Linked DNA regions of Ovis aries. The protein of the gene in region 4 binds, or shares a complex with, the protein of the main gene of each other region. Links are inferred from orthologs where the notes say so. Each region holds a gene or a part of one and is shown on either strand. Other genes may lie near its edges. The genes, in order: STK26, STK24, STK25 and STRN.

Region 1 (6,178 bases), on a different chromosome or scaffold from region 4:
TTCTCTCACCCACACTTTATGAAAGATTTAACACCCAATTTAGAACACTTGTCTTCATAAATACTCATGCAGTTTCTAAGGGGAAATATCTTAAACTTAAGTATGATTTACAACTGTGAACTTCAAAGAAACAACATGTTTTAAATCATTAAAGAGTAAATATTTGAGTGGAAAGAAACAGGTTTGTTGGTTTATTTTGTTTAAGTTGTGCTTTAAATATTTTTCAAGAGTTCAGCTCCTGGTATGGAAAATTCCTTTAGCGATATACTACAGAAATAAGCACAAATTAAGCATCAAAAAATTCATATCCTTTACATTTGGTGTAATATGGCAAACATTTCATTACCACAATATTAAGAAATATTAACAATACGAGTCTGAATAACTAATTCATAAGGAAGGGTTTTAACTGGACCAAATCCTGGGTTTTCTTTCGTCACTCCAAGTTTCTTTTCTATTTTAAACTAGAGGCAACAGAAATTTCTTTGTTTGAATGTCAGGAATGCTGGAAGTCTTAAGTGATAGAACAGGTAGCTCGACTTCACGTCTCTCCTCAGGGGGAGAAAAACACTGCGGGTAAAGTAATTTTGTTTTTATTTCTGGAAAAATCATTTTTCCATCAATCTTCATAATTCCCTAAAATAAACTGTTAAAAAGTTACTGGCCGGTCGACCACTTCACCCTGATTTGTGGAAATACTATACATTAATTTCAGGAACACATGGCTAACTCAAGTTTTCTCACTACTGTGAAGATCTAAAAGTTGCTCCTAACTCTTGCAGAAAAAATTTTTACAAGCTCGTGATATATTCCTGCATCTCATTTTCACTACTTTTAAACAAAAGAATAGTCACAGTAGTCTAGGCATGAGAGTCACGCTGCTAATCATCAAATTTGTTTTTAGGATACCCCACAATTTTAACTGTGGAAAACCTGTTTGTTGCCCCAAATGCTTAAGAACCACATCTACAGAGAGCATGGAAATAAGAAGGTAAGAATTTACCATTTCATTCAGACAGAGACAGTGACAAGTATTCCTCTCTTCTTGGCAAATGTTGAGATGATTGCCCTTCCCAAAGCCATCACAACTTTGGGTAGGAATAAAATGAAAGGCAGAATTTATCATTTAAAATATGAGACTCACATTCTAACCCACCTTAATGAAGATTTTTAAAAATTAAAAAATTCAAAAGATAGGGAAATCAGATAATGAAACAAAGCAAGGAGCCATAAGAAATACTGAACAGTAAGGAGTTCCTAAACCATGTAAATCAAATAAAGCCAAATCAAATAAGGACCAGAAACCATATAAATCAAATAAAGTCAAGACAAATGAAATAAAGACCAGAAACCATTTTCTCCTCAGCACGCAGGGTTCCCCAGAATCAAACTTGATCGGGAGGTGCTCACTCTGCTGACGCACGCACGCAGGCAGCGCGTGCACACAATGGAGCGAGGAGTACTGAGACACTCAGAGACAAACTTCACATGCGGACTCTTCTACTCCCCAAAGGAAAGGAGAGCACGGTGGGAAAGTTTCCCCACTTTCTTCCACATCAGACAGAGCAAAACTGTAGTTGATAAGGCAAACTACTAATTCTCTCGACATAATCAAAGGCAGAACTGAATGAATGGGGTGAGGGGCAGTGGCTGGGGGGAAGGAGGGAGGGAAGGAGAGGGTGGCGTGAGAAGAAGGAAGTTTGAGGCATTTTGTAAAGCTTGAATGGATTAACCTTTTAAAAGGCCCTAATGTCTCGCATTTCCCTTTTGCTTCCTTTTCTTTTTTTTTTTTTTTTTTAATGAACTACATCGATTTCCTGGGACTCAACCCAGACTTATCCTATATTTAGCTGAAAGGCCTGGTGCCTAGGACACACAGGAGTCCTAAGTTAGATATATGTCCGATACAAACAGTCCTTTGGGGGGAAAGCACTTTAAAAATCACTTTTTTCGTGTGATCATGCATCAAATATGACCAACTGTTATTTTTTTTAAGATGAATTCCATGCATTATTTAGTAAATTAAGGCCCCAATCCATGGCGCTTTGATTTCTACTAGCAACATAGCTATTTACCAAACATTTTTTTCTGAACTTAGAAAACGTTTGCTTTCACATTTTTAGAAGATAATGAGGCTTAAGTGCTTCTAGTCTTTTACCTATTCATAAGTGGGGGTGTTTAGGCTGTCTAGCAAAGGAAAAAAAATAAAACGTGAATGCTTAAAAGCTACTCAACTTGGATAACATTTAGTAGATAGCTTGAAATGCACCGATTCAAAAACCTAACAATGCAGAAAGTTTGTGGACATAGCTTGTTTCTTCTTTAATAAAATGAAAATGTAAGGGGGGAGGGCTGGTAAGATGTAAAAGATAAAAAGTTAGGTCCCAGGCCGTAATATCTTGTCGTCCAGGACAAAAAGCTTTGCAACAACCACACTGCCACAGCCCTCCGGTGGGAAAGGCTGGGGGCGGGGGCGGGGGCGGGGGCGGGGGCGGGGGCGGGGGCGGGAGAGTCATCACCACCGCTGCTCTAACTTAGGACCCTGCGTTTCTCACACCCCACTACGGGCTGCGCCCGGTGGGGGGAGCGAGACACAACTTGGCCCCAAAGCAGCAGCCCCAAAAGGGGAAAAAAGTCACCTCGCTCTTTGCTCTACGCACACAGGAAGAGCCCAATTCAAAGCCGCCACCACCGACACCCCCTTGCCTTGCTCCGCCCCAACTTGTGTGTGTGTGTAAGCACCACTTGCGTTTTACCCAACGAATTCCGAGACACCTCCATCTCTTCCAAGTGAAGTGCTTCCATTCCCACCCCCACAAGCGCACCAGCTCAGCCGGCGCAGGTGTCCCGCCCCTGCCTGTTTTAACACCCCCCCCGCAGCCCCCGGCATCCCCAAAGAGCCGCGCGCCCCAGTCCCTCCGCGCCCGGCCGGCACACTGCACCGCCTAGCTTACACGCCGGGAAACACCGAGAGCTCTCCGTCCGGGTCACCTGGCCGGAGCGCCCGGCCCGGCTTCGGTCGGGGAAGCCCCGGGCCGCCTCTCGTCGCCGGCGCCCAGCGCGGAGCGCGCCCCGAGCTCCCGGGCAGTCACGTGGACGGCGGGGGCGGCCCGGGCGTCCTCACCTGCATCCCGGGCACTTGGACCGCCACCGGTGAGTGGGCCATGAAGGCGAAAGCGGCTCCGCGCGGCTTCGGCGGCGGCGGCGCCTCGGGCTGCGACTGGCTCCTCCTCCGGGGGTAGGTCGGCGGCCCTCTCAGGCTTTTCGACCCGGGCCTGGAAGGACACACACGAGTTGGGTGACAGGGCGGGGGGCGCGCGCGGCCCGGGGCCGGGAGGTGGGCGGTCCGCCGCGAGGCTCCCCGGGACTCAGTCTACCTTTCTGGCGCCCGCCCGCCGCTCTGGCCGCCGCCTCCGCTGCCGCTGCTGTTGCTCCTGAGCGCCCGACGCCGTGTGTGGCAGTGGCCGGGACCTGGGCTCCAGTGATGCCGCTCGTCTGCGCCTCGCCGCTTTAGGAAGAGGAGGTGGAGGCGCCCCAGCCACCCGCCCGCTCGCCGGGCCCGGGAGGCGGTTGGGGGCGGTTCCGCCGCTGGCCCTGCCCCCGCCCCGCCGCCGGGCGGTGTCAGGAGAGCTAGGACTGCGCTGGGAAGGGGCTCGGCTGGGGCTCCTGGAGCCCGACAAGAGGGAGGCTCTCCTGGCCCACGGAGAGGAGAGCTCGGGGACTGGAGGGCGTGGAGCACGGCTCGGCCTGGAGAGAGAAGGGAAGAGTTCGGGTGACCCGCGGGGTCCGAGGGCGTCCCGGGCGCGGCCACGTTGCAGGCAGGCTTGCGAGGGCACGGGCGGCGCAGCCTCGGAGAAGTGTTGAGTTGAAACTTGGCGGGCGTCGGAATTCCTTCTCGAGTCCTCGACGTGGTCGAGGGCGGGGGCGCAGAGAGCCGCCGAGTCCGAGTCAGCGGACCCCTGCTCTCCCCCGCGTGTCCCCAGCTGGGGCCGCGCCGCTGGGCGGGGTCCGTGGCCGCTCTCCTCTTTCCGGATTCCCCGCCCCCCGTCAGGCTTCAGGTGCCTTAGAACTGGGGTTACCCCTACCTCTTGGGCTACCAGTTGGGCGGTTGTGGGGGAGGGCGATCAGACTGGGGCTTCTCCGCATCACAAGCACGTGTAAGAGAGACGGAAGTTGGAAAACAGATGGCACCTAGGCAGAAAAATGAATGAGGAAATAGAGGCCTGGGAAATGAGATTGGGTCATTCGCAGGACGTATTATTGAATTCAGCATACAGAGCAGTGGTTTCGGCAAGTCCCTGCCTCCACCCCATTTGAAGTTCCACTCCAGCAGGGAGGTAGACTCTTCGGAGAGTAACCTAACAGTAACGAGATTAAAAATAATAATAATAGCAATTGCAGTCATCTCATTAGGAAGGCACCTTTGGGAAACCACAAGTGCCAGTTTAAAATGAGGATGGAGTTCCCTGACTTGCAGGTTATTGTAGGGCTGTACCCACCATGGTGTTGGGGCTCTGGCAGACGAGAAATGTTTCTCTTGTTCCTTTTGAATCTGTCTCAAAAGATAGCATGTCATTGTTATCAATATATTTAGCTATCGTTAATGAGTTCCATTTTCTGTCAGGGACCGCTAAGTGCTATGTGTGTGTGTGCGTGTGTGTGTGTGTGTGTGTGTGTGTCTTGCCTTACTGAATCTTCACAAGGGCCCTCTGAGGTCATATTACCTTTCTTCCATTTTACTGAAATGCAAAAAAAGGCTCAGTGAGCTTGAATAATTTGACCCAAATATCACATAATTAAGAAGTGGGAGGGCTGGGAATTCAAACTCAGGTCCTTCTGACTTTTAAGATCTGCTCTCTTAACAACTGTCAAGTATACAGAACAGTATTGTTAACTATAAGTCACAGTGCCATACATCACATCCCCAGAATGTAACAATCTTCTAACTGGAGATTTGAGCCCTTTGACCACCTTTACCTGTTTCCTGCATCACCCTCCCCTGGCAACCACCAATCTACCCTCTGTGTCTGTAAGTTTGGTATTTTTTTAGATTCCCTGTGTAAGTGAGATCATATAGTATTTGTCTGTCTCTGTCTGACATTGCACTTAGCATAACGCCCTCAAAGTCCATCCACATTGTCACAAATGGCAGGATTTCCTTTTATAGCCTAATAATATTCCTTTGCATGTATATACAGCACACTTTCTATATCCATTCAGATGATAAAGGATATCCTCAATTCCAGGCCCTCCGTACTTCCAACCTGACGATAGGCCTCAATCCAGTCTGGATTTCCCACCATCCCAGTTCACACTTAATGCCAGCCTGACCAGAAACCTACAGTGTCATGTAAACTCCATAGTGGTTCCCTGGGATTCTTTTTAAAGTGCAGATTTTGATTTAGCAAGCTTGGAGTGGGTCCAAGATTCTGCATTGCTAACCGGTCCCTGGGTGGTACGATAGTGCTGATTCTTAGACCACACCTTCAGTAGCAAGGGTCTGAATCAAGCTCCATCATTTAAGGCCCATCTCATGTCCCAACCCCACTGATTCTTCTGTGTTGCTACAGGCCTTCTTTCAGACTCTTCCTATTGCATGTTGGTGGGAGCAGCACTCACATTGTAGTTCTTTTCTCTTATATCATGCATTTCATTTGCTTCTCACATAAGAATTATTTGGATAGAATGTCAGCTTTTTGAGGGCAAGATTTATGTTGGTTATGTTCATTGCAGTATCCTCAGAGCCTAGAACAATGTATGGCACACAGGAAACCCTCAGTAGATATTCATTGAATGAATGAACGGATGGATTTCCTTTCAATTCTTCGCTGAGTTTGGTATAGTGCTAGTTGGTATAGTGTTTTATTGATAGCCTGGTTCAACTCTCATTTTTTTGTCTTCTAAATTCTTTTCTGTTACTTTAATTTCACAACTACTTAAAAGGGCAAGTTGTATAACTTTAATAAATAATGTAAACATATGTACGAAGTGACTTTTCCTGACATGATTTTGTGCTAGAGTTATATAAGCATGTGGAAGACTGAATGCTACATTTTGAGACCTGAACTATCGAGGCATTTCCTTAGAAACACTGCGTTTGAGATCTTGCTGAACTTTCTACCTTTCTCTAGCTTTTGTGCTATTAAATAAACTCTTTGTTGTTATTATTGATAGATAT
Region 2 (6,048 bases), on a different chromosome or scaffold from region 4:
AGCTGACTTGGGCCCTAACACACGGCTTACACTTCAACAGGGTATACTTCAGTCAGAGGATGAGATGATTGGATGGCATCACTGACCCAGTGGAAGTGAGCTTGAGCAAATTCTGGGATAGTGAAGGACACGAAAGCCTGGCGTGCTGCAATCCATGGGTCACAAAGAGTCAGACACGACTTAGCGACTGAACGACAATAATTCAGTCAGCTGTGAAATCAATTTAGTTTTGCAAAGGCTTTCTTCTCTTTAATAAAACGCATCGCACAGCAGCTCGCAAGTAGTGAGGATTAGGACTGTCTTCTGAAACTTTTAGTTTTAGGTCTTGATGTAAAATGTATTTCTTACATGGGTCACAGTTCAAAACAGGTTTTAAGGTGACTCATAAAATTCCACGATAGAAATTTATAAACCAAGATCTAATTCTAACTTACAACTTCTGCAACTAAAAGCTGATCAGTGCTGCTGTCTCCAGCTGATGCTTGCCCCTCTTTCAATCTGAATTAAATTGAGAGAAGCAACAAATGTTCAATGAAGGACAGGGAGTTATTAAATCTACCACTCAACCTAATTTCTTTATGTCTATTTGTAGTTACTACATTAAGCTAGTGATTTCCATTTTTCCCCAATGCTAATGAAACTGGGATGTGGGAGGTTAAAAAAAAAAAAAAGGAAAAGTGTCCCCCCCCCCCCAACTCCTCTTATGAAACAGTTATTAAAAAGGATAACTCATTCAGACTTACAGCCATCGACCCCTCATGGAGTACTTGGCACAACAGCGTTCAGTAACAGTTGCTGATCAAACAAACAAAATATCAGTCTCATATTTTAATTTCTTCTGCAAACCCAAGTTGGGATGAAACAAATGTTACTTTCTGCTAAAGTAATAAGACTAATTCAGCAAGGCCAGTAGGAGTATGAGTTCAAAAGTAGGAAAGACCTGGTCTCTAGTCACAGATTGCCACATAATGCACCTTCTCACCTTGGGTCAGTTCAATTAGTTTCTGCTGGTTTCCACATCTAGACAATAACATAAATTACACCTGCACCTCAGGTGGTACCAGTAAGAATCTAGAGGCATAAAAATGATTTGCAAGACAATGAAGAAGGAAGTTTTAACTGCAATTATTCTTTTAAATCAGGTTTGTTTTTTTTTTTAAGGATCTTTGCCTAGGGGCTGCCTGAATCCACTCTGCTATCTTTCTTGAAATTTTTAAGCCATCTCCACATAAATCCTGGTCAGGAGATGAGAGAGGAAAAAAGGGAGGGAGATGGGATTAACAGGGCAAGGGCACAGGTGGGTTAGCACTTTCCTCCCGTTTTATCCTGGAGAGCCGTCTGAGGCAGGTGTGCCTTTACGTTAATCCTCAATAACAACTCTGAGGAAGGCCTCCCTGGGCAGCAGCAGCTGCTGATTCAAAGCAGAAAATAAAATGTGTGTGTTGTTTTTCTTTTGGAGTGGAAGGGAGAAGGAAAGAATATTCCTTCCCAAATGGCACATCAGAAACAAACATCATAGATTGTATGGAGGCACTTCAAACACAGGGATGACTCTGTCCAAAGCCACCTCGCGCCCCTAAAACTGCAAGAGCTGAAAGTCTAGTTGTTTCAACCAAATAAAAACTTACCAGCCTTTATACTGAGAAAGCAAAATAAAAACAGCTCCCTTGTAACTTTACGGAGGAAATATGTTTGGGGAGGCAAGCTTTTCTTTTTTGAAGAAATGAATCTTCCTTATCCAAGACTTAAGAATTCTGGCCCACACTCCTGAAGCAAAAAATTGAAAGGTGAGGACAAAAAAAAAAGTGTTGAGACTAGATAACCACCTGACCTGGTGACCATCTGATACTGACTGGAGGGCATCAGCCAGAGAAGCTTTAAGTACCTTTTTAAATAGATTCCCTTTCCACAAAGGCTGACTACACCTCCACAGTAGTACTGAGCAAGGCATGTGTACCAGACTACATACAACCTAATTAACAGCATAAGAGTATATCTCAAGAAAGTACTGACCAAATATGGTTCTTGGTGGGGGGTTTTTTTTTTTCCAAATCATTACAAGAGGTCCTTCTTGCTCTACTGGTCAGAAATACATTTTTACCCAGTTCACCCTGCTTTCCTGTCTCTAAATTCAAACCAAACCAAAGCAGGAATTTTAGGAAATACCAAGAAACCACATCTGATTTCTACCTAGCGGTCAGCAGTAGCTTAGGTTTTTTAATGCGTGTTGTTTAAAAGCTCTTTACAGGAGGTTCAAGGACAGTTTTCTTTTTAAGTACAGTAAAGTTATTAATGTTAATTGTCACTCCACTTTAAAAAAAAGCTAAAATCCCGGTAACTTTTTTCTAGATATCAAACCTGAACAATGAAGTCGAGTTTTCTACTTCGGATTTAGAGAGAGAAAAGATCTCTCTCGAATGAGGGGGCAGATTCCTGGCTCCCATGTGGTCCAAATACTTCTCAGCCCTCAAGAGGAAGGGGAGGAAAAAAAAAAACAAAAACGAAACAGTACGTTGAACACTAAAATACAAATAATCCACTCGGATACTTGTGATTGTTTTCTTAAAGTTCGTACGTTCCCTCGCCCGGCTAACCTGGGGGGAACAAAACTTTTGAGAGATACCGTAACCGTTCCGTTGAGATTTTTAATCCCAAACATTTGCCACCATTTACCCGTTTATACACATCACAAACTAGCCGAGGAAGGTGGTTTTTATTTTTCAAACGCCTAAACATAATCCCCGAAGGCGAAAAACTTTCTTTGATGCATCCTCGCCCCCACTCCAGAAAAAAATTATTAAGCCGCTGGGAGGCCAACAGGCCACAAAGAAGCCACGGAGAGGGTTAGTGGGAAGGGACTCTCCGTGGTCGGATCCAATCGAGTTTCCAAGTCCAGCCCAGAGTCCCGGGACCCACGCTGTCCGAGTGCAAGCTGTCCGATCGATTCCTCCCTTCCAGAACGGACTTCCAGGCTTCGCACCTTCCCGTCCGTCTGCACCGGGAGGAAGCGCGCGGAGCAACGCGCTGAAAGCGGAGCTGGCGCTTACCCCTTCCTCTCCCCGCCCTGTCTCCTCCACCCGCCGGGCCGGGACGAGCCGGGGCGCGCCCGGGGGCCCCCTCTCCGGGGTAGGGGGGGTGGGGAGGGACAAGGGCCTCCACCGCTGCCCACCCCTAGCCCGCACCCGGGCCCCGAGAACGAGCCGGGCCTCCAAGGGCATTTCTCCACATCACTTCTTCCCAGGGGATGGGCCGGCGCGGGGCCTGCTGCTCGGGAGGGGGACGCGAGGAGGGCGACTGGGCCAGCAGCGCACATTCTCCCCTCCCCGGACCACCGGGACTCCCGGCCCGCGAGGGCCGCCTCCGGGCCGCGGCCCCCCAGGTCCCTTCACGACCCCCACCCCACCCGCGAGACCCGGGCCGCGGGGCCGGGCAGGACGCCCCGGAGGCGGCGAGCGCGGCGCGGGAGGCCGGCGCGACCCCGGAAGGGGCAGCGTTCGGGGGAACTGGGGGTTGGGGGAGCGGCCGTGTTTACACCGCCAAGTTCCCCGCTTCCGCCCCGGCCCGCGCATCCCTCCCGCCCCTCGGCGGCCCGGTTCCTGCCTGTACCTGCATGCCGGGCAGGCCCGACTGCACCGGGGAGTGAGCCATGGCGGTCAGGACGGCCACTTCCTGGGACGGGACGGCCGGGCCGCGGCGATCCGCGCGGGCGACGAGGCCCGCGGGCCGCGCGCAGCCCTCCTCGGGCGGCCGGGGGCGGGAGATGGGGGGCCGGCCGGCCGGAGCCCGAGGCCACCCTAGCCCCCCGTGGGTCCTGGGCCGGGCGGCGGGCTCAGGGGCGGGTGGCGGGCCTCGTCTCCATGCACCGCGCCGGGGACGGGCTGCGAGGAGCGCGGGGCCTCCCTACGAGCGGCCGCCCTGCTGCTGCTGCTGCCGCCGCCGCCGCCGCCGCCGCTGCTGCTGGACTGGAACCGGGCGGCCTGGGCCCGCGCGCTGGCGCCTGGAGCTGGAGTGGGGCGCGCACCGCCGGCCGAGCCCGCGAGCGCCGAGCGCGCCCCGCCCCGGCCCGGCCCCCGCGCCCGCCCCCGCGGCCGGGCCGGGGACCCCGCCCCGCGCTTCCGGGAGGGGGAGGAGGCTCGCGGCCGCCCGGCGCCCTAGGCCGCAGCGGTCCGCGCCGCCGCCGGGCCGGGCCGGGTAGAGGTCCGCGCGGCTCCCGCGGGCTAGACCAGGTGGAGGGGGACGCGCGGGCGGGTGCGGGGCTAGGGGCCTCAGTTAGCGGGGGGCAGGGGTCCCCCCCGGTGGTGAGATGGGAGGGCGCGGGTCTTCGGAGTCAGGGATGGGCCATGCGCCCACCCCGCCCTGCAGGCCCGGGCCGGTCGGACGCCCCGGGGGATCTGGGCTTGCCTTCCAAAGAAGCCCACCCCTCTCGGCCTGGCGACGGGCCCCAGGCCACTTCCCCGAGGGCAGAGCCTGGGGACCCGGCGGGGGCCTCGGCCAGCGGCCGGTTCAAAACTACCGGGGCGGAGCTTCTTCGGTGTCCGGGTGAAGTTTCCAAACCAACCCAAGGAGGAAGCCCTCCGGGAGGGGAGAGGCCGAAAGCGGTTCGTTTCCCGTGCTTTGGCTGCTTGAAAGCACTTGGAATACTAGGAGCTGTGAACTTAGCCAACAAACAGTGAGGGGGCTGAACCCCATCGTCTCTGGGCCCCGGACCAAGGCGTGGGGGCGGGGGACGTCCACCCACCAGAAGGGAGAAGCGGGCAGGGAGGGCCGAGGAGGAAGGGAAGACAATGGAAGGAAACGATGTCTAGACTTTCCCCTGCCTCTCTCCCGCTCTTTCGGCTGCCTCCACCTTCTGGTCACCTCTCCTCCGACTCCAGAGGAAAGAAGCAAGAAGGAGTGAGTCACTGCTGCCTCCAGAAAGTAGTAGTTTGTTTACAACGACCAACAGCGGCAGTCCCCTGAAGGGACCGGCTGCAGCTGGGGTTGCTAGGACCCCGACGTCTACATTCGTGCCCGTGAATGACGTTGCACCAAGGCTGGGTGAGGCTGGACCTCCAAAAATTAGCCCATAGAGTTCGCAGACCGCTGGAAGAAGTTGAAAAGCCCTCCACCGAATGAGGGGTGTTTCTTAGAGGTGTCAACTGGATTCAGAGTTCCCTGCGGTGCTCTGGATCAGATAAGCAATGACTTAAAAACCTACTCCCCGCTTTCCTTTGGGAAATTATGCATGTTTTGTATCCTCAGCATCTTCCAGGATACTTTCAGATACCTCACGGTGGTCCCTGGTGTGCGACCGTCACTGAGCCCTGAAACCCTGCCACCCCCAAATACTGTGAAGAGAATAGAGCAAATACAAACTTTAAAAAAAAAGCATGAACCCTGATGCTTAGGGCGCTCACCGGCTTGTGTAAATTTTGTGTACACACACACAAAAAGCGTACATAAAGAGACAGACGGCAGATCAGACAAGCGTGTGAATATTAAAAAATGTTCATCTTTAACCCAGGCATTTTCCTAAGGAAACAACGGAGAAGTGCAGAAGAATGGATATAAAAAATGCAATGTGGTGATATTTATGATGGTGGTAAAATTGGGAACCGATTAAAAGTCTGAGACTTACTTAAATGATAATATAGTCATACAGTCATTTAAAGTGATGTACTTCAATATTTACTAACACGGGAAAATATTTTCAAGATATATTGTTAAGGAAATGCAGGGTAGAAAGCAGTCTGATCTCAAGTTACTTCATATATATGAAGTTATATTTAAATATATAACCCTTCATATATATGTGTGTGTGTGTGTGTGTGTGTGTGGATGTATATAATTTTGTGTGTAAATGTATAAATAGAGAAAAACCTGGAAGTATATGCCCCAGGATTTAGCAGTGGCTAGCCCTGGAATTAAAGATGATTTTTTTTTTTTTTAGTTAGTATTCAACCAATAGAGACCATCGTGCTAATAGGTCTCTCCTGAAACTCCAGTACTTTGGCCACCTCATGCAAAGAGTTGACTCATTGGAAAAGACCCTGATGCTGGGAGGGATGG
Region 3 (5,387 bases), on a different chromosome or scaffold from region 4:
TCACAGCCCCAAAGGCCGACCCCTGCCCTGGAGAGCCCGCCTCAGCCCCACGGGAAGAGCAGGCCCTACATGTCGGAGTCCTCGGAGCTGGACTCCTCGCCATGGCCCTCCGACCTCCAGCGCTTGTAGCGGTCGATGAGCTCCGTGAGGAAAGAGGTCTTCTTAGTATAGCGCGTGATGAACTTGTGCTTCAGGAGCTCCTTGGCGGTGGGCCGCTGCCGGGGACGCACAGGGGTCACCAGGCGCCGGGCAGCTGAGCCTAGGTGACCCCAGGTGGCAGGGGCGCCTAGGGGGGCTGGGTGGCTCCACACTGTCTTCCCCAGGGGAAGGGCCTCCCTCCAGACCCTCCTGGCCTGGGCTGGGGGCACAGAGGAGCCCGCCCTGGCACAGCGGAGGGGCCTCTGGCCCTGTCACCTCTGAGCTCCCACTACAGACAGCCAGCACGCCACTCCATACACGCACATGCGCGTGCACACACCCCCCTCAACTGTCCTCTGGAGCCCAGTGCCAGGGGCCCCAACTACACTCAGCCATGCAGGCCCCCTCACCACTCACGAGCTGGGGGCAGGAGGCGCTTACAAATCGGGGGTCCTTGTTGAGGCAGGCCTCCACAAACTCCTTGAAGGGCTTGCTGTGGTGGCCCTCGAGCGTGGGCGGGCTGTTCTTGGGGATCAGGAACAGGACGCGCATGGGGTGCAGGTCGGAGTTGGGAGGCTCGCCCTTGGCCAGCTCAATGGCTGTGATGCCCAGCGACCAGATGTCGGCCTGAACAGAGAGCCACAGGGCCGCTGCAGCGCAGGCCGCCCGCGCCCTGCTGCCCCCGGCCCCCGCCCGCGCCCTGCCGCCCCCGCGCCCGCCGCCCCGCCCCAGCCCACCTTGAAGTCGTAGGCCGACTGCTTGATGACCTCGGGCGCCATCCAGAAGGGGGTGCCCACGAACGTGTTCCTCTTGATCTGCGTGTCCGTGAGCTGCCCCGCCACCCCGAAGTCTGCCAGCTTCACATCGCCCTGCTCTGAGAGCAGCACGTTGGCAGCTGCGACACAGGACCGTGGGCGTCACCCTTCGTGCCACCCGAGGAAGCACCCCCCCAGCCTGCGGCCAGTCTCCCAGGGAGGTGCGCCCTCAGCCCCAAGGCCATGGCACACTGCCGCCGGCGCACACGCGCCCTCAGCCGGCCCCAGTGCCCATGACGGTCACCACTGAAGACCCTGCGCACAGGAACTGCCCTCCCGGCCAGATCGCTCAGCAGGCGGCGGGCGGCCTGACTTCCCTTGCTTTGCCAGTCACGCCCCTGCAGGCTGGCCTGGCCACACGTCCACCCGCAAGGCTGCTCTCAGCCCTCCCGTTCACAGGCTAAGTCGGGGCCCCCAGCCTACGTGCGGAGCCCACTATGCCATGTGCAGGGACACAGGGCTGAGCCGGCCCTGTCTGTCACTGGGAACAGCGGGACCGCCAGGTCTCCGGGGTCCCGCACCCGCGCCCCCATGCGCCCCAAGGCACCTTTGATGTCGCGATGGATCTTGCGCTCCGAGTGCAGGTACTCCAGGCCCTTCAGGACCTCCCGCAGGATGGTGGCGATGCAGGTCTCCTCCAGGGGGCCCGGCTTCAGCTGCAGGCGGGGCCAGCTGGGCCTCAGGCCTCCCCACAGAGCCTGCCCAACCCCTCCCCACCACCCCAGGCCCAGCACTGACCCTGAGCACGCCCGCCTCAGCGCCAAGGGCGGGGACCCCCTGCGCGTGGGCGCCTCCTCTCTCTGTACCCACTGTGTTTTGACTGCACAGGTCTCAGTTACACCACGTGAACTCTTAGTTGCAACACGTGGGACCTAGTTCCCCAACCAGGAATTGAACCCAGACCATTACAAGCGTGGCGTCTTAGCCCCCGGACCACCAGGGAAGCCTCTTCACCCACTTTTGAAATTAAAGTTTCAGACAGCTGTGTGGGAGGTAACAGCTGACACCGGGGACGTGGCCACACTCCTGAGCCTCCTGCTGGGGGTCTAACCTCCTCCCCACAGGCCAGCAGAGGACTTGGAACCCTCAGCACCAGCTGGGTCCTGAGGAACAGTCAGCCACCACGACAGGGAAGCAGGGGAGGCCACAGGAACCCAGGGTTCAAGGACAACCCCCAGACAACTTCTTCAGTCTGGCCCTGCCCACCGGGTTGCCCAGCCCCCGGGGCCCCCCAGCTCACCAGGTCCAAGGCGGAGCCGCCACCCAGGTACTCCATGATGATCCACAGCTTCGTGCTCTGGGGCGGAGAAGTGTGTCAGCAGGTGGCAGCAGGCAGCACAGGGCCCAACATGCGCCCAGCTGTACTGACTCAGCCAAGATGCCCACCGGGAACAGCGGTGGCCGCCCGTCCGGCTCCCCTCACCACACCCCTGCGCAGACACTGCAGATGGGCCGAGCCCGTGTCCAAAGCCCCTGGGAAGGGCTCCGGCTCCAGGGGGCCCCCCCGCCCCAGGAGGGGCACAGACGGGCCATTCCAGAGCCAGCCGCTCCCTGCTCACACCCTGCCACCCCCAGGCTGCCCTCAGGACACAGCCAGGCCCCTGGCCCTGGGCGTGGTCGTCCCCTGGAGGCCCAGTCCACAGTGCCTCCCGTGGGGACCCCCGCCCTACAGACCGGGCCCGGGGGGAGAGACCCAGCCAGGCCTCCTGAGCAGACAGGGCCCGCTAGCCCCGTCCCCACTCTGGCCACAGGGGTCCCAGCAGCGGCCCCGTGCGGGCAGGGCGCCGTCTCGGGGGGCACCTTCAGGTAAGAGCCGAAGTAGCGCGTGATGTGGGGGCTGTCGCACTGGCTGAGCACGGTGATCTCCTGCTGGATGTCCTCGATCTCGTCCTCCGCCTCCTCCAGGTCAATGATCTTGATGGCCACCACCTCCTTGGTGCGGTTGTCGATGCCCTTGTACACCTCCCCGAAAGAGCCCTTGCCGATGCGGTCGAGCTTGGTGAAAAGCTCCTCGGGGTCCACTCGCGAGTGCTGGGGACGGGGGCGAGCGGCTGGGTCAGGGGCGGATGGCCAGGGAGCCCCCCCGGGCCTCTTCTCGCTTCTTACATCCCTTTTCATTCAGAAAACCTAAAGTTACCTCCACTCAGGGGCAAACGTCCCCAGAGAGGACTGAGAGGCTGAGGCTCTCGCCAAGAAACCAGGGTCACAGGGAAGGCAGATGGGCCATGCAGCTCACCCCTGTGTGCCCACAGCCCAGACGTGGGGAGGACCCAGGGAGGCAAGTCATGGATCAGGAGGGACAAGGAGGTGGAGCACGGGGAGCTGGGGGCAGCTGGACAACGGTGCTGGGCAACGCTGTGAGCACAGGGGGCCGGCCTCACAGGCCGCTGGCTCCGTGGGCAACAGCCTGACCACGCTGGGCCATCAGTCATAACCAACTCCAGGGAAGCCTTGCGGGGTGCAAAGAGCTCGCTCTCTCAGCTTTCTAAACCAAAAACTGCTCTAAAAAGTGAAGCCTATTCATCAAAGGAAAAAAACAAAACAGGTATTGAGTTCTCCCTGCACACCTGGAAGCCACACCCCTTAAGGAGAGTCCTCAGGAGAGTGATGCCCTCACCCCAGCATGGAGCTGGAGACCCACACTCCCCTGGACGTGCAAATGGACAGAGAACCACCCTTCTCACCTGGGGCTCAGACTGGAGCACAGACCCACCCGACAAGGCGCAGAGCCTCAGACAGGCTCAGTGCCAGGACACGGCAGCACAGGGGTGTCCACAGAGCAATCTGGCTTTCGACCTTGACCCTCAGTGTCCAGGCCTGAGACAGCTCAGCGTGGGGCTGTGCGTGGAGGACAGCGGGGCATCCCTCACCCCCACCTGCGTGGCCCCCTGGGGGCCGAGGTCACCGTGCACCCCCACAGCAGGCGCTGGAGACCCAGGACCCCAGTGGCGCTGGTCAGCTAGCAGGGAGCCTGGCATCTGGTCCACACAGGGGCAGAGAGGGTCCCCCAAGCGCGCTGGGCCACAAGTCCACCAGACACAGCTCCCTCCAGACTGCACCGCTGCCCCGAGGGCACCCGGGCACCCCCCCGAGGCGGCACCATACCCACCCATCCGTGCGAGCTCCCTGGCGCTGAGGGGGCTGGGCCAGGGCGGCCACTCACAGGCTCTGAGCAGAGTCTGGGGGCACAGGGCTCCCCCCGAGCAGGGCACAGTTCAGGGCCCACTGGCTCCAGACCGAGAAGACATGTCAACCCGAAACAGCCAAGAGCTGCCTCCCCCGGGCTGTCACCAGCAGGGAAGAGCTCACCCAACCTCAGAACGCCAGGTGAGCGGGAGAGGGCGCAGGCGGCAGCCTCAGGAGGGACCCAAGCCAGGGAGCCCAGGAAGCCGCCTCCTGCTCCCCCTCGGCCCCACCCGACCCCACGCCGTCTCAGCCCAGGGCACACCTCCGGTCCAGCCCGTGCTCCGGAGACAGGCTCCTCTCCCGCCGAGGTGGCCTCAGTGCAGACGTGGGGCAGGCTGGCCTGGCAGCACTAACGGGCACCGGCGTGCCCCAGCGCTCCCTCGGCCTCCCCTTCCCACCGTCGGGCCTCTGCCAGCGGCACCCCCGCCCCCGGCCCAGGCCAGAGTTGGGTCTGGCTCCTCAGCTATCCACAGCCTCGAAGGGGGCCCCGGGCAGGCCCTAACCAGAGGCCGGGCCCGGCTCGCAGCCGCCTCAGGCCCCCAGGGCTGCAGGCCGGGCGCCTGAGTGGACAGAGGCCCCAGCAGCGCACCCTGGGACAGCCTGCTCACAGCCGCGCGGGGGAGAAGGGAGACAGGGCCGGGGCCGGGCTGCGGGGGCCCTTGTGAGAGCCGGGTCTGGACAGCCGCTCGGCCTGCTCGCTTGGCCCAGACCACCGGGCCCTGAACCTGCCCTGGGGCGGCCCGGTCTGCGGTCACCGCTCAGCCGCCTGCACATCCACTTAGCACCACGCCCGCCGCTGGCATCACCCCCCAAGTGAGGGCTGGCCAGCGGCCCCCATGCACCCCACGACAGGTGGCAGTCACTTGCACAGGGCGCTTCTACAGCTGCACAGGCCTGGGCAGGAGTCACAGCCCGGCGGGGGCCCAATGCCCAAGGTTCCCCCGCGGGGAGCAGGCCACCACCCCACGCACACAGGGACCGCCTCACAGGACCACGATGACAACCACCTCAAGGAAAACAACGTCCTGTCAGGCTTCCTGTCACCGACAAAGACCAAGCGTCTCCACCCCTGAAAGGACAAAAGGGGCTTCCTTCCTCTGGGGTCCCTTCCTCAGCTCCCCTGAGCCCCGCTCCGTCCCCGGGCAAGACGCAGCCACCCAAGCCCCGCTGCGAGCACCACCAGCACCCAGGTGAGGGGCCGCTCACAGCGCCACGTCCGCACACGGGGGGCCGTTCCTACAGCCCTTG
Region 4 (5,387 bases):
GTAGTCAGGATTATCTGTTTTACATTAACTGTCTTGTCTTTTTCCATGCTGCCCTGCATATCTGACTGCCCATCTGGGGATTCATTTTTCTTTTACTCTAAGAATACAATATATCTGTTTAATGAAGATCTATTGGTGCCTAGCTTTCTTAGTTTCTGATTTTCTTGAATTGTCTTTACTTGTCTTTTTTTTTTTCGCCTGAGTAGGCTATTATCTCTGATTTCAAATTTCACTTTGCAAAAAATTTTTAGTGCTTTTTGTTTCCTTTATTTATTTTTAATTGAAGGATATTTTTAAAAATTGCATTGGTTTCTGTCATACTTTTTTTTAGTGTTTTAAATATATTTCATTTTTTTGTTGTTTTCTCTTAAAATCAGCGGTCATTTCTGTTTTTGGTTACAGTAGTAACCAAAGGTTTTTGGTTACAGTAGTAGTTCTGTTACTAATTATGTGTTATTTCTGTTTGTTTTCATTTATGCTGTTGTATCTCATATGGGTATGGTTATTTTGTACTATGTCCAAATAGCTATATTTGAAAACTTGTCTCTAGAAATAATTTCTGGCCTAAGTTTATATCTTTCCACGAAGAGTATATTTTCATTTTCTTCTCTCAGATGTCTGCAACCACTAGAAATCTGGATCACCTGCTTCATTTTTAGTTTTTGAGATGATCTAAAGCTGATCTACAATCTTTTAAGGGCTTTTGTTCTTTTAGTTCACTCTTATGTGTGGGATACAGCTTTCTGAAATCAAAACCTAAAGCCAGATAGTCTGCTAAGCCCTACTTTCTTGGCAGGCCCTGGACATCAATCTATAGCTCTCTGTATTGCAAAGTCATCAGAAACACAGCTCAACCTCTCAGCCATCTCTTCTGCAATCAGTAAACACTCACGGGGGAAAACAGTTCCAGATACCAGGCTCACTTCCGTAGGCCTCTTGTCTTCACCTGGATCCTAGGTTTTTTCCCACGATTTTGTTAGTTATAGATTTTTTTATTCTTAGGTTTGCTATTCTACTTGTCCTCAGTACACAGTTGGTCCTAATGATCTGGTCCATCATGACCAGAAGCAGAAATTCCCATTAGATGCTTTTGTTCCTGCAAAGAGTTTGTCTAATACATAAAGGAATTCAATCCTCTCTCTGGAGAAAGCTCATCCTTTTTTCATAACTTAATTGTTAGAAAACTTAGTGTTAGTCTGTCTCAGTTTCTAAAAGTAGTTCCTAGTTTTATTAAGCATATTAGCAATCTATTGCTGCATAACAACTTGTACCACATTTAACAGCTTAGAAGAACAAACGTTGATATCTCACAGCTTCCATGGGTCAGCAGTCTGGGGACAGCTTAATTATGTGACTGGCTGTTTGTATGGTTGTAATCAAGACATTGACAAGGGCTGCAGTCTTACCTAGACTTGACTTGGGGAAAATTGCTTCCAGGCTCACTCATGTAGTTGTTTGAAGGCCTTGGTTTCTTGCTGACTGTTGTCTGGGAACCAGTTCCTCACCGCATGGACCTCTCTGTGGGCTCCTCAACAGAGCAGCTGGCTTTTCCCAATGTGAGTGCACCTAAAAAGATAGGGAGCAGAAACACTCGAGATGAAAGGTTTTATAACCTAATTTTGGAAGTAGTTTATTCCAACTTCTGCTGTATGCTGTTGATCACAGAGCATGCCTATAATGTGGAAGCGTGAAAGTGTTAGTTGCTCAGTTGTATCCAACCCTTTATGACCCCATGGACTATAGCCTGCCAGGCTTCTCTGTCCATGGGATGCTCTGGGCAAGTATACTGGAGTGGGTAGCCGTTTCCTTCTCCAGGGAATGAACCTGCGTCTCCCACATTCCAGGGAGGTTCTTTACCATCGGAGCCATCAGGGAGGGGGACTACCCAAAGGTAAAAATAGGTGGGGCTGACTGGGAACTTAGTGGCTGCCTACCACATCAAGATAATCAAAGGAATTTAAGTACTCTTCCACATGAAAACCTTTTAGCTCTTTTATAAGAATAAAAGAGGTCAGCTCGGTTGCCCTTGTCGTCCTAACCTTCCTGCCAGCCCTGCCTGCCCTCAAAATAATCGGCCCCATTCTTAGAGTAGTTCCTTGCATAATGTGTTTTGTTTTCACTCATTGCTTCCCAGGTGGCGCTAATGGTAAAGAACCTGCCTGCCGGTGCAGGAGACAAAAGAGACCTGGGTTTGATCCCTGAGTCCGGAAGATCCCCTGGAGGAGGGCATGGCAACCCACTCAAGTATTCTTGCCTGGAGAGCCCCATGGACAGAGAACCTAGTGGGCTATGGTTCATTGGGTCGCAAATAGTCAGACACAACTGGAACAACTTAGCACGCATGAATTGCCCCAGTTGTGACATGTCCTGTCCAGATTTCTCTGCAGATTTTTAAATGTCTGGGTTCTAAATTACAGTTTAATAGTATAGCCTCTGAAACCAGATTGCTTGATTTTGAATCCTGACTCCTCCATTTACTAGATGGCAAGTCACTTAACTTCTCTTTCCCTAAAATGGCTAGTCTGTAAAGTGAGGATACTGTTAATTCCAACATCATAGAGTTGTGAGGATTAAGTGAGTTAATGCTTTTTAAGTCTTTTGAATAATGTAGAAAATAATGAATGCTGTATAGAATATCAGTTGTTGTATCATTGATAATTTTTGTAACTGTGAGTATGGTAACATTTCTCTAATATATTACAAATACTTGCTTAAATCTACCATGATTGTTAGCCTTGGAGTGTGAAGTTCATCCATGGTGCTTGTGTAAAGTCAAACACTATCCTCTTTAGCTTTTCTATTAGTTGGAATGAAAAAACAGTGCATTATTTTTTCAGTTATTGAGATTGAGATTCTGTGGAGAAAGTGAAAGTCACTCAGTTGAGTCCGACTGTTTGTGACCCCATGGACTGTAATCTACCAGGCTCCTCTGTCCATGGGGATTTTCCAGGCAAGAATACTGGAGTAAGTTGCTGTTCCCTTCTCCAGGGAATCTTCCCAACCCAGGGATCGAACCCAGATCTCCCGTGTTGCAGGCAGATTCTGTACCATCTGAGCTACCAGGGAAGCCCTCTGTGGAGAAAAGGAACATAGTAAATATATAATTATGTTCGTAATATCTGATTGTCTTTTCCAATTTTAACATTTTGTTGTCAGTATATAAACTTCATTACCAATTTGAAGAAAATTTAGCTCTTGTCTGAAACCACTGAAAACTTTGAAAGTATCATCATATTCTGTAATGTTAACATGCTTAAAGATAATTTAGTTTTTCAACTCTTAACCAGAATTGCTTTATATTCTATAATTCAGGTTTAAATCACTTGTCTTTTTAAAAAGCATCCTAGTGAAATTTTGTTTTTTGTTACTAAGTTATTTGATCCTCCTTCTATACTGAATTATGTATTTTCTTATTATAGCATTCATATTTCTTCAAAGAAAACCATTGTTGACATATTGCTAATTTTGCCTATTGATTTGGTTATCTGCTTAAAAATTACATTATTTTGAAAGTTGCAAAATAATGGTAGTTTAATGATGAAACAGTAAGAATTAATGCTGAAATACAGTTTTTTCCCTCATTCTGAACTAAGTATATTGGTATCTTTTTTTTCTTTAATAGATAGCAAATAATAAAGATGCATTGAGGAAGACATGGAACCCCAAGTTTACATTAAGAAGTCACTTTGATGGTATTAGAGCTCTCGCTTTCCACCCCACTGAGCCTGTTTTGATAACAGCATCAGAGGATCACACGTTAAAAATGTGGAATTTGCAGAAAACAGCCCCAGCCAAAAAGTGAGAATATTCTACTTTAACTGTATTTGAATAATTTAATTAATATTTTTCAGCAGAGAAAGCCTTACTTTATTATTTGCTGTTAAATTCCTCAAATATCTCTTCTAATTTTTTTCCTTACCATGTTATGTAATTTAGGATGTTTTTGCCTTCATACTCATAAGCTAATTTAGGTTGAAAAACTGACCCTTAGGGAGAAATGGTTTGTGAATGCTGATTATAATCTTTATTTGGTGTTTTAAATAACTTAAATTTTGAGAACCCTTTGTCTGCGCTGGAGGTTTCTGTTGTTGTAAGCAGGCATAGTCATGTTTAAAACCGTCAAACCCCAACCCCAATCCTTCCCCATTGTTTACTAGGTTTGGCCTTATGCTGGAGCCGGTGGGGGCAAGAGACCTCTCTTTGATCCTTTCTTTTGATCTTGACCAAAATGTCTAGACTGAAGGGGTACTGTTGCTGCTCTCACTTATCTGCTAAACTTCCCTTGGCCCCTTGGTTCCTCTGTAAGCACGGACAGACATGAGTTGGTATAAACCCCTTTTATCAGTCACCAAGCTAGTCCTGATCCCACTTGGTACTTTCTCTTTCTTCCTTGGATTACGTGGTCCAGAACCCAGCATCTACCAGCAAGGGCCCTTCTACAGTGATAGATACCTCTTTTTATTAAAGAGTAGAAATGAACGTCAAATGGAGGAGAGGACAGAAGTTTTACTACTGACAGAGAATATCTCCTGCCCAATTTGAAAACAATCAGTGACATTCCAGCTGTCACACCTAGACGTTCATCAGACAGCTCAACTGGATATTGCTAAAACCAAGTGAATCTTCATGTAGATCAGGTGTCTTTAACAGAGAAAGGTATTTCCTGGTTACAAACTGTGCCTTTTGTTCTTCAAGTTCTTTAGTTCACAGTGGGCATCATATTAGATGAGAGAATGTTGAGTATCTCATCATATATTCTTGACTGTAACTTTGAAATATATTGAAATTTCTTGCTGGTGGTAGCTTAGTAATAACACCTTCACAAGCAAGTAACAATAGTCTTTGTTTACCTTTGAACTTAAAACTTTGGAAATGAGGAGAGCTATCATATGCCTATTAAAAAAAAATCTGTAATACAATCCAGTTTCTGTTCTCAGTATGGCCAGCATAAGCCATGTAGAGTACTCATACACTCAGTGTTCTGAGTAGTGAATAATCTGTTCTGATGTTCAAATCTAATGTGGACAGTTTCTGCAGGTATTCAGGACAGACATGTTAATCTTTATGGAAATGCGAGGAAATTAAAGTACCTTTGATTGAAATTCTGTTCTGTATGGTTCTGTCCTACGCTGTTTTACCGTGAAGAATCTCATTTAATCTTGTAAATATTTGCTGTTATCCCTATTTTTATATTTTATATTAAACATAGAGGAATCTAAAGTTTCAAAAGATTAAATAATTTGCCTAAAGTTAGCCAATTAGATACAGAACTGGAAATTAAATCCAGAAATTTATGTCTTCAAAACCCTTCTGTTTTCTCTCCGAGTGAGGCTCTTTCTCCCTTTAATCAAATAGATTAGGACAGTGCTAAAAGTGCTGTAACAGTT

The links.
Region 1: STRN (region 4) and STK26 share a complex: the UniProt entries of both Homo sapiens proteins name them as parts of the core of STRIPAK complex. The link is inferred for Ovis aries from reciprocal best matches to the Homo sapiens genes STRN and STK26.
Region 2: STRN (region 4) and STK24 share a complex: the UniProt entries of both Homo sapiens proteins name them as parts of the core of STRIPAK complex. The link is inferred for Ovis aries from reciprocal best matches to the Homo sapiens genes STRN and STK24.
Region 3: STRN (region 4) and STK25 share a complex: the UniProt entries of both Homo sapiens proteins name them as parts of the core of STRIPAK complex. The link is inferred for Ovis aries from reciprocal best matches to the Homo sapiens genes STRN and STK25.

What each region holds. Positions count from the first base shown.
Region 1 is NC_056080.1:102,852,037-102,858,214, forward strand, and holds the start of STK26 (serine/threonine-protein kinase 26), read right to left. Parts: upstream 3,513-6,178; 5' UTR 3,378-3,512; intron 3,276-3,377; 5' UTR 3,167-3,275; coding exon 3,125-3,166; intron 1-3,124. UniProt on the Homo sapiens protein: Serine/threonine-protein kinase that acts as a mediator of cell growth. Modulates apoptosis. In association with STK24 negatively regulates Golgi reorientation in polarized cell migration upon RHO activation.
Region 2 is NC_056063.1:74,889,723-74,895,770, forward strand, and holds the start of STK24 (serine/threonine-protein kinase 24), read right to left. Parts: upstream 4,011-6,048; 5' UTR 3,649-4,010; coding exon 3,607-3,648; intron 1-3,606. UniProt on the Homo sapiens protein: Serine/threonine-protein kinase that acts on both serine and threonine residues and promotes apoptosis in response to stress stimuli and caspase activation.
Region 3 is NC_056054.1:369,120-374,506, reverse strand, and holds part of STK25 (serine/threonine-protein kinase 25), read right to left. Parts: intron 2,985-5,387; coding exon 2,754-2,984; intron 2,251-2,753; coding exon 2,194-2,250; intron 1,610-2,193; coding exon 1,501-1,609; intron 1,034-1,500; coding exon 876-1,033; intron 766-875; coding exon 580-765; intron 216-579; coding exon 70-215; intron 1-69. UniProt on the Homo sapiens protein: Oxidant stress-activated serine/threonine kinase that may play a role in the response to environmental stress.
Region 4 is NC_056056.1:87,161,808-87,167,194, forward strand, and holds part of STRN (striatin), read left to right. Parts: intron 1-3,622; coding exon 3,623-3,798; intron 3,799-5,387. UniProt on the Homo sapiens protein: Calmodulin-binding scaffolding protein which is the center of the striatin-interacting phosphatase and kinase (STRIPAK) complexes.